Regions from separate parts of the Mus musculus genome. Here region 2 is reported to be linked to region 1. The links are microRNA targets in miRTarBase. Many come from high-throughput screens and were not tested one by one. Region 1 holds a microRNA gene; the other region holds the end of a gene's coding sequence.
Evidence for each region. The annotated mature microRNA mmu-miR-3061-3p reads CUACCUUUGAUAGUCCACUGCC and lies in region 1 at 3,282-3,303, opposite strand. An mRNA with a match to its seed (bases 2 to 7 or 8) in the 3' UTR can be bound and repressed. Matches are read on the target gene's strand: a 7mer-m8 pairs with bases 2 to 8, a 7mer-A1 pairs with bases 2 to 7 and ends in A, and an 8mer does both.

Region 2: miRTarBase lists Fam126b as a target of mmu-miR-3061-3p. Seed matches in the 3' UTR shown: 7mer-m8 at 959-965.

What each region holds. Positions count from the first base shown.
Region 1 is chr11:52,124,867-52,130,106 of GRCm38, reverse strand. Mir3061 (microRNA 3061) reads right to left here and starts at 3,361; the gene lies at 3,271-3,361.
Region 2 is chr1:58,525,077-58,530,316 of GRCm38, forward strand. Fam126b (family with sequence similarity 126, member B) reads right to left here. Exons shown (of 13, transcript NM_001310598.1): 13 at 1-5,183. The coding sequence ends at 4,582. All of the region lies in intron 2 of Gm15834 (a long non-coding RNA gene), which reads left to right. Among named protein-coding and RNA genes, the nearest start is that of Gm15834, 23 kb to the left of the region's middle.

The sequences.
Region 1 (5,240 bases):
AAATAATTCCAGCAAAGGTAGGGGCGCTTGAAAGCCAAGGTCTCCCTGAGAATGCTCTTGTAGCAGGCCCTTCACTGCTCTGAATCAAGCTGATTCGCAACTAAAGTATGCCACACAAAGTGTCTGGCACAGTGAAAGCTCGGGGCTATGCAACTCCTCTCTCAGCAGCAGCTTCGGTATCACTGCTCTTGACTCCTCTGCATTCACTTACCGTCTTCAGGGATTCTTCCTTCTGCATGGAGTACTGATGTAAGCTAGTTCATTATGCCAGCTGTGCCCCGGGATCCCAGCACCAAACTGAGCAATTGGTGGAAACGGCAAATCACTTTATGCTGTGCTTCTGACGCAGGGCCATCTGCCACTCAGGCCGAAGACAGAAATGTTCTAGTGTTTCTAGGTAGCTTAAGCAAATAATCTCATTTCAAAAGCCTCACATACCCACAGTCCTATTTTTAAAGTGCTGGTTTCTGATTTCTAGTGTTCTGCATACCTCCTCCTACCCTGAGATAAACTTGGAAACTCAAGTCCTACAAAGACAATCCTTAAGATTCTGTTTTAAGGAAACCTCTGAGACAGGCTGGAAGGATGGTGGCTCAGCAGCTAAGAGTGCTGACTGCTCTTACAGGGTCCTTCCCCGGTTCATTTCTCAGAAGCTCAGAGCTTGGAGGCTCACAACTACCTGTAACCCTAGCTCCAAGAGGATCCAACGCCCTCTTCTGGCCTCTATCGATACTGGCTTTCAGGAATGCATTGTACCTTTCCCTCATGCAACCCTCCAACCCCCAAAAGCCTGGGTGTATGGTGGTGAATGCCTTAATTACAGCTATTTGAATCTCTGTGCATTCAAGGCCAGCCTGTACTACATAACAATTTCCAGGGCTACACAGTGAATCTCTGTTGGTATACCACACACACACACACACACACACACACACACACACACACACACACACCACAAACACCTATCTGTACATCAATGTATGTAAGAGAGGTCAGTTGTAGTGGTGTGCATCATAATGCCAGCTGGTTGGAGGTGGAGGCAGGAATGGGAATTCAAAGCTTACCTCTGCCACATAGTGAGTCTCAGCACAGCTGGTATGACCATCCAAAAAGAACAACAGATGGGGATTCAAAGCAACCTTCCAGCTTCCAGCAGCTCAGACTGGAGACTGAGAACTACTACTTAATGAGGTTGGGGATGGGGAAACACACATTCATGACTGTGCATGAGAAGAGACACCCAGAGACTGACTGTCTTATGAAGACGGGTGAGAAAAGTACATCAGCCATGGGCCTACAGAGCCCACAGAGTCAGCGAAAGAGACACTGGAGACGAAACAAGCAGAGGATGCAGCAGCCAGGAGCAGCAGCAGCCGTCCATCTGGCTACACTGGGAGCTGTAGACTGTTGTTTCTTGGTGTAAAAGCAGAGTGCAGCAATGAGGATCACAAGGTCAATTCACTCTTGCTGCACACTGAGACGACAGAGACCCTGAATTCCATGCACAATCACAGAATACAGTGGGAGGGGCTGCAGAGATGGCTGAGCAGTTAAGAGTAACTGCTGCTCTTGTAGAGGAGCTGAATTTGGCTCATCACCCACATAGCAGCTCAACCCACTTAAAAAAAATTATCTCATGTATGACTACAATGTAGCTGTCTTCAGACATACAGAAGAGGATATCAGGTCCCATTATAGATGGTTGTGAGCCACCATGTGGCTGTGATTCCTGGGAACTGAACTCAGGACCTCTGGAAGAGGAAACAGTCCTCTTAACCAGAGCCATCTCTCCAGCCTGACTCTAGGAGATAAAACACCTATTTCTGAGCCAGGCAGTGGTGGCGCGCACCTTTATTCCCAGCACTTGGGAGGCAGAGGCAGGGGGATTTCTGAGTTCAAGGACAGCCAGGAACTGAGAAACCCTGTCTTGAACCCCCTCTGCCCCCCCCCCATTTCTGACCTCTGTGGCCACTACACTCCTGTGCACAAACAAACCCACCGACACACTGATAATTTGAAAAACCACCTACAGATGTGGGTAATGGAAGCACAAGGCCCTACTATGATACCCTTGGTCCTTTATCTCCCTTCCCAACATGCACTTCTCTAAGGGCACCTGTCACAAGGAACTTCAGTACTCTGAGAACAGGGACAGCCCTGGTTACACCACTTGTACTGATCAAATAAATGGCTACAACAGCAGGGTGAACGTTACCTAGCTTTTACTCTTGCCAGCAGCCCAAAGGATAAGGAGGGATCGTTAAGACTGGCAAGAGTTAACTCACCCGTGTTAGACCACCACAGAAGGGACTGTGCGACACATCAGGAGGTGGTATATTTGTTTACAGTTTATTGAGTACAGTATAGGAATGTAGCACGCTGGTCAGTAACTGGAGTACTGCCTGCAGCACATTGTTCTAAGAATTTCATACCGGAGTACAACCCACTAGGATATGCCCCCCACCCCCTTTCCGACTGGCTGTCTTAAATTCATTTCTCTTTTCACTCTGAATATTCTATTTATTTTTGCTTTCCATCTCTCATCTTCACTTGTAGCTCTCTGGCCATCTTCCTTCTGCTCCCACCATTCCTGTTGTCTCTGGTGGTCTCATGGTGGATGCTTTTCACTTCCTCTGCTTGTTTTTGAGGTTATCTTGGTGGTTTCCATCTTCCTGTGACACCTTTTGGTATGCTAGGAGCAGCTCTGCCACTTAGCCATGTTCCCAGTCCTCGCCTTATGGTACTTACCACCACCCATATGGACGTTATCCCCACGTCCATGGCTCAATAGGTGGTCCTAACTGGTGTTTTGAGAGGCAGTGAGACATGGCAGCTGGCAGTTGAATCACAGGGTCAGGCCTTTGATGCTTATATCTTCTTTGCTTCCTATCTCTCTCTGCTCCTCCTTCCTCCCAAGCCATTACTTGGTAATTAACTCCTCCTGCTGCCAAAACAGCCCTCACCTCTGTTCCTTTCTCACTCTGGCAGACCATAACCCTGAAACTGGGCCAAAATGAACCTCTCCTCCCCTAAGATGCTCCTGTCAGGCATCTATTGACAGTTACATAAAACATATACACTACTACACCACAATGACAAGCATTTTTAAAGACTAAAAGACATAAACATCCCAACCCAATGACTGGGATCCAAGTGGGAATGGCTAGAAAGTAGAAAGGGGCATGGGGCTCAAGACCCACTGCTTGGCATCCATCCTATAGCCACAACAGAAACTCCAGGACAGGGAGACCTACCGAAAAACACCAATGCATGCACCGTGGGGCAGTGGACTATCAAAGGTAGCCTTAGCTCAAAGGGGACCACCAGGCTACCTTTCACGGCCCACTGCCCCACAGTACACAATATATCAAGGTACACTCATCATTGAAGCAGCAAAGAGGGATCTAGGTACAAGATCCCTCAACGTAACCCAACACTTCATGACAACTTCGAGGTACGTCCTAAAAAGGTTGCACCTTGAACAGTCTCCAACATGTGACTGACCTATATACCCCAAAGGCGTGTAAAGCTCAACCAGAAGACAGAAATAAGAAAGAAAGCAAAACGAACCCTTTAAAAGTTCTACTCTGTCAAGTAAGATTGCTGGACGGTGGTGGCCCACACCTTTAATCCCAGCACTTGGACAGAGGCAAGTTTTCTCTTTCTCAAGTTTTGTTTTCTCTCATTATGTAGCTTGGCTGATTTGAACAGAGATCAGCCAAGCTACAAAAGATGATCCTGTCTCAAAACAAAAGCAATCCATACAATCAAGGTACAGAATGGAAATGAGAAAAATGGTGATGCATCACAGTATACCACACACACGTATGAAAATGTCACAATGACACGGTATCTTTACAGTTCTACCATATAGAGACTGGCAAGGGGCATGGTCAAACACATTTACAACCTTGCAGAGGTTATTTTTAACATAGACACAATTGTGGAAAAATTAACCCAAAAGATTTAAGTCTATAAAATGTAAAAGCAGTCAAAGAATTATGAGATTATAGGGAAAAAAAAAAAGGTTTAGGTCAGGAGAATAAAATCCACTTCAAAATTAAGCCTATAAATTATTGGCTGTTACGCTGGGTGTGGTGGTGCACGCCTTCAATCCCAGCACTCGGGAGGCAGAGACAGGCGGATTTCTGAGTTTGAGGCCAGCCTGGTCTACAAAGTGAGCTCCAGGACAGCCAGGGCTATACAGAGAAACCCTGTCTCAAAAAACAAACAAACAAAAAATTGGCTGTTTCCAGGAACACAGTAAAAGCCAGTTACCCCAGAAGATACCACCAGTACCACAAAATCCAGCTGTAGTTACAATGGTTATTTACTTTTAAGACAGGATTATGCTGGGCACGGTAATATATACCTTTAATTCCAGCAACTGGGAGGCAGAAGGAAGTTCAAGGCCAGCCTGGTCTATATTGTTTCAGGACAGCCAGAGCTACATTGTGAGACTCCGTCTCAAAAAGATAAAAGACTGCTTCACCATGTATCCTGGATTGGCCTGGAACTCAGAGATCCATTTACCTGCCTCTGCCTCCCAAGTGCTGATATCATAGATGTGAGTCACCATGCCCCACCCAGCAGTGTTCTTAACCCTAGACATACTATGCTCCTAATAATTCAAAGTAAAATATGTGGGCATCAAGATTGAATACCACAGAATTAACTGCGGCTCTTCCAGAGGTTGGATTTGGTCTTTAAGCACTCACACCAGCAGCTCACAACTCTGAAGCTCCAGAGGACCTAGAGGCCTCTGTTAGCACCACACACATAAACAAAACAGTAAGTCAAGAAAGGGAGACACTGTGCATTTGTAATGAAGAAAGGCAAACCGTCTCCCAATGGTCACTGAACATTTCAAGAGGCTCAGATGTGCCATTACACAGGCAGGTGGCAACCACACCACCACACTTTTGTTTCATTTCAAATAGCTACAAGGACCATTATGATAAATGCTTGAGGCATACATAGCCCGACTTGACACAATGTACAAATCTCAAAACATCACCTGGAAACCTTAGATAGTACATTGTTTTTGTTTTACTAAAACCATTATACATATCTTCTTCAAGTACTCAAACCCAACAGTAAGCTTTATAAATTGTTTCAAAGCAACCTTTTAATAAAAAAATAATAATTTATGTGCACATGAATACTGATGTCCAAGGAGACCAGAGGTGGATGTGGGTCCTCTTGAAGAGCAGTGTGTGTTCTTAACTCTGGCTCCACTC
Region 2 (5,240 bases), not on the chromosome of region 1:
TAAACAATACTAGAATTTGGCTCATCTCCTTTGCATGGAAAATTGTACTAACCTGATGACTCATTATTTTATTTTTACACTATATTCCATGTTTATATAATCTGGTAAATATTCTATTTTTAAGAGGTTAAGCTGCCAGTAGCTAGTTTTCAGTCACTTATTTTTGGAAACCACTTTAAGGAAATTAGAAGTATTATAGTAAGTATCTCACAACTTGGTGGTGAAGCAACGGCAGTGGTCATTTTGCTTGAGAGAGAAAAGCCTCCTGTTTTAATGCTTGATATAACCACAGTGCAGAAAAGTTGCTCTACGTTCTAATGTTGTAGAATTTCTGACCACTAGCATGACATATTAATCTCTTTAAATTGAAAAACTATGTCATTGGAATACTAAACTTTTTCATTAAATTAAAAAGAAAAACCTTACTTTATAATGTAATTCAAGTTCAGAAATGGAGTGGTCCCACTTGCCAGTGTTTATACAGTATGTTACCCTACCCATAAAGACAGAAACTAGTATTTTTATTTATAAATAAACATACAGTGGATTAAATGAGACACTGATTGTCAACAACTTAAGTACTAAACAATGGACCCAAAGAAGCCTCCTAAGTGAGGTAGGAAAAACGCACCACTGCATTAAGGTATTCACAAAAGCAGTGCAGACAAATGCAACGGAATGTAAAAGCTACTAAATGGAATCGAGACTACCAGCTGGAGATACTGAGCTTATGTAGCTAAGACTACCACACTTGAGTTGTTTTTATCTGGTCTATATGTGATAAATGACCCAGAGACCACTGTGCATGGATTCAAAGTTTCACACTCACTATTCTTCTTTTTCAGTAACGTAGAGGAATATTGCTCTTATCTACTCTAAGCCGAGTAAGGAACAATTTCTCTCTAGATGAAAAATGAATGGAATTGAGTTTATCTTTACTCTGCAATCTTCTACAGTGTACCTTTGATGACTGAAAACTGGCTGATTAAAGATCACTTTCAAATAGTTAGAAACACTGATCAAGGAAATTTCATTGGGTTTATTTTGCATCTAAACAAATCCCCCAAAATACAAATAACATGGCAGCATATAACTGTTATGTGGTAGAAAATTCACAAGGCATAAATTAGAAAAGAATAATGTGCTATACAGACACCTACATTTTGAACACATCCCCATCTGTATTAATTATTTTACTTTTTTTTTCCTTCTGGAATTAATACTTTTCTTAATGTGTTCACCAGCTACTAGACCAGAAACATAAAGAAATAGCAGAAATGGAAGTGTTTCATATCACATTTACTAAAGTATGGATAACCAGAGGCAATGAGGCATCAATATGCACGTGACTAGAGACAAGGTTTGATTATGGCCCTGCTTCTTAGTCATGGGCCTTATTTCACATCCTCCTTTGAGCCTCAGTGTCCTGAGGATGCAATGTGTGTGTATGGCAGAGAGAAGAGCCAAATTATCTCTAGGGTCTCTTCTAGCACAGAAACCTGATCTGCAACAAACAGGCACAGCACAGTGGGCTGCGAAAAAAGGGGCATTGGCAAAGGACCAAGATTTTAAATGACAACTCTTCCCTCCCTAGCTTGTAAGTTAACTTTTTACTTTATATTTTAGCTTTCTTACCAGTAAAACTAACTGAAAGTCATATAGAAAAACTCCTAAAACCTTCAGATACTGTAGTCCTTAATCTAACCTAGTACAGATGGCATCAATATAAGACAAATATTTTCCCCTAAATGCTTTTTTTCTACTAGTGCGATGAAGCTTCATGAAAGCTGAGAAATATTAAAGGGAAGTTATTAAAGGTTAAATTATGGACATTTCTAACTTTCTATGACATTTTTAACAGCTGCTGTATAACTGAACAAAAACCATTTTAAATTCAATGATGGTAACATAAAGTGGTTGAAATGATCATTAGAAAACTTGGTAGTTTGTCTAATTTTAATTCATTTCATTTTAACTGTTATCTTACACAGAAAATGTATTCTAAGACCCTTGCTATAAAGTGTAAATGAAGAACTTGTTCATTGAGACCAAATTATAGCCCAAAGAATATGAAGCAAATGTTTCAGGATTGTGAAATATTACTTGGGATGTATATACAAAGTCTACACATGCCAACAAAAAGATGAAAAAAACCTTTTTTTTTTTTTTTTTTTCTTTTCTGAGACAGGCCTTCTCTGTGTAGCCCTGGCTGTCCTAGAACTCCATCTGTAGACCAGGCCAGCCTTGAACTCAGAGATTCACCTGCTTCTGCCTCTGGAGTGCTGGGATTCAAGGTGTATGCCACCATTCCTGATTCTTAAACCAACTCTTCAGTTATGATGTTTCTAATCAAAAGATTTTTTCTCATATTTACAACAGTTTATGCTATACTTTCAAGTTATTTGGTATTCTCTTGTGCTTTATTTAAAATGCTTGGTTTAAATGCCAGTCTGTTACATGTGCGCCTGTGAGCTCCAGCATGAAGTAGGCGTGCTTTGCCATCTAAGACTGATACCTTCCTTATGCACCACAAAGCCTCTCTGTTCAGTAGGTTACAAAAACATTTTATTTTACTATTTTACAATTCTTTTTTCTTTTAAGTTTACTTGATATCTCTTAGTTAAATTAGTAGAAATAGGGCTAAAATGTGTCTGTGATAAATGGATACACATATCATACGCATATTATAAACAATCAATAGATCACATTTCAGCTTTTAGTTTTACTCCAAAGTTTGGCAATGATGTGGATAATAGCTGAGGTTCTAGTTCCCTATTTGCTGGGAGCTGAAAAATGTTATAAACTATCAAATCTAATTAAGGATTATTCTAACACAATGCAGACAGACAGATGGACAGATAGACAACTCCTCCAAAAATGGTGGTTTATGTATGAAAAAAAAAAGAGAGGCGTTTTCCTGGCTATTTAATTTATCAAATTTTACGGTAAATAGAGATAAAACAACTTTGTCAATTAAGAGGACACTTGCTTCCTATATAGGCAGTGTAATTTTCATTCACAATACATAAAATGTCTACATGTACAAGGGTGTGTGTAACTGATGTTCTTGAGATGGGTAATTCATAGCAATTGAAGTCACACAATACTGATTTTTAAAATCCTAATATATTCCCTTCTTTTTCAAACAAAGCCTGAGACCCAGAAGAGATTATAAGAAAGTCTTATCCAACCAAATCACAACAAAAATCCTTTAAACTAATAATGCATTTTTGTAGCCTCTTAGCAGTTACCAAATGCTACTCATTTACATTCAACATCTAGTTTACTGGCATGATTTCAACGTTTTATAAAAACGAGAAACTTTGCAGATAATCAGAAGATACACAAACTGCAATAAACACAAAGGCAGTGTGGTCCTTGTAGAGCAATCAAGTCAGTACCCTCTGGTAGAAATGTTCTATACAAATGTGTCACATAGAAGCATCAGTGTTTTCAACCAATCACCTGTCCCTGATGTGTTTCCTTGGAGTATATGATCTCAGGACTTTAGGTTTCTGTATCCCATATCTGACTGAATCTAGGTACATCTAGGAAGCAGCTGAAAGGGTTTCTCTAGTCTGATATCTCAGAGAGTGGACTGAGAAATCCCTCTCTTTACCTGAAGACGTACAGTGTCTACTTCAGTCATCACCAACTCACAAAGGAAAGGAAGAAAGAAAACAATTATAACTTCACCTCATTTACAATCTCACACAAACTAAACAAACAACACCCTTCCCCCAACAAAGCCCCAGCACCATAATATCAATCATTCCTGGGAAATAGAACACGCCCCTTTGAGTCTCTGATTTGTTAGTTCAAACTTTAAGGGCAGAAATGTCCTTAAGTCCTTGTGGGAGGAGGGAAGACCTGTTGTTAATGACTAGAGAGCCATTGAGAAAGTGCATTATCAATCACACAATCAACTTAGAGCCCTACCCTCCAATGGAGGTGGTCACAAATTGATTTAAATGCCTCAATAATTAAACATTTGTGTCCTTGGGATAAAGTAAGGGGGGCAGTTAGCCTCATTTTAATAAAAAAATTGCAGTAGTCTACCACTTTCCCCCATGCTTCCCAAGAATATAAAATTGCACAGGCTCAGAGAAGCCCAAAGTCATAGCAGAATCTCTGAGGCACTCCTGGTTAGAGAGAAAACATATGATCCAGTTATCTTCATAGTTCATAGATTATGTGAACAAACCCGTTTTGTTTTTAAACAAAAGCCAAAGAATCATTTCATAGGGATCTTATACACCATTTCCTCGACATCTCCTCAGTCTCACAGTGTTGAAATGGGACCGATCAGCCTACGATGGATTGCACATCACCCAAGGAGAAAGGAAGGCATGGAAAAGGCAAACGTTTTACACTGCTTCACAAACACATTTAAGGGAATAGGTAGAGAGGTTAAAAGAAAGGAAAGGAAAACCTTATTGCTGTTTCCATACAAAATACAGTATGAGATACCTAAGCTAAGTCAAATCTGATGACAGTGACATCTTTTCACAATGCGGGATGACGTGTCTTGCACAATGAAATGTTCAGTGTAGAAGGTTAGCAGAACAAGGGGCATCAGAACTACACCTGGGATATTAGCTGCATATTGAAACTTGGGGATCGAGACTGCTTGGTTAAGGGGGCTCCTGGGCTGAGGAGCTCTTTACCTTCACCAGCGTGACCTAGCCGGTCTTCTTGTAGACTGATAGTTGAATATCGATTAGCATTTGTAGCTGCTAGATTAGTAACTCCCTCAGTGCCAACCCCAATGCTGGTACTTGCTTGACCGCCATTTACATAGTCAAAAGATTTACTTGAGGAAGCACTGGCTGTCCGGATTAGACTCAGACTATTGGTTTTTGGCACCACCTGGCCTGCAGGCAGGCTCAAGTGTTTCTTCATCGGTGTCAGCTCAACTGAATCTATGCTGAGATCTGCTTGTTGTTGTACAAACTGCTTTCCAACTACTGAATCTCGAGGGCTCTCATTGGATTTGATGGCTAATGCTGTTTCTTTGTCTTTGGCGGAACGCCCAGTTGCTACTTTCCGCAAGCTTCCCCGCTGAGAAGAGGAGGGTGGTTTGGTCCCATGTGGTTGGCTGCTAAGAGAAGCCCCTGATGAAAATCCTTCATCTGCATCATTCATGTTTAAGGACTCCTCTCCGCCATTTAGACCCTCAGCACCTAAAAAATAAATCAGACAGATTATAGCTACATTAAATAAAAAAGCAGCTGTGAATA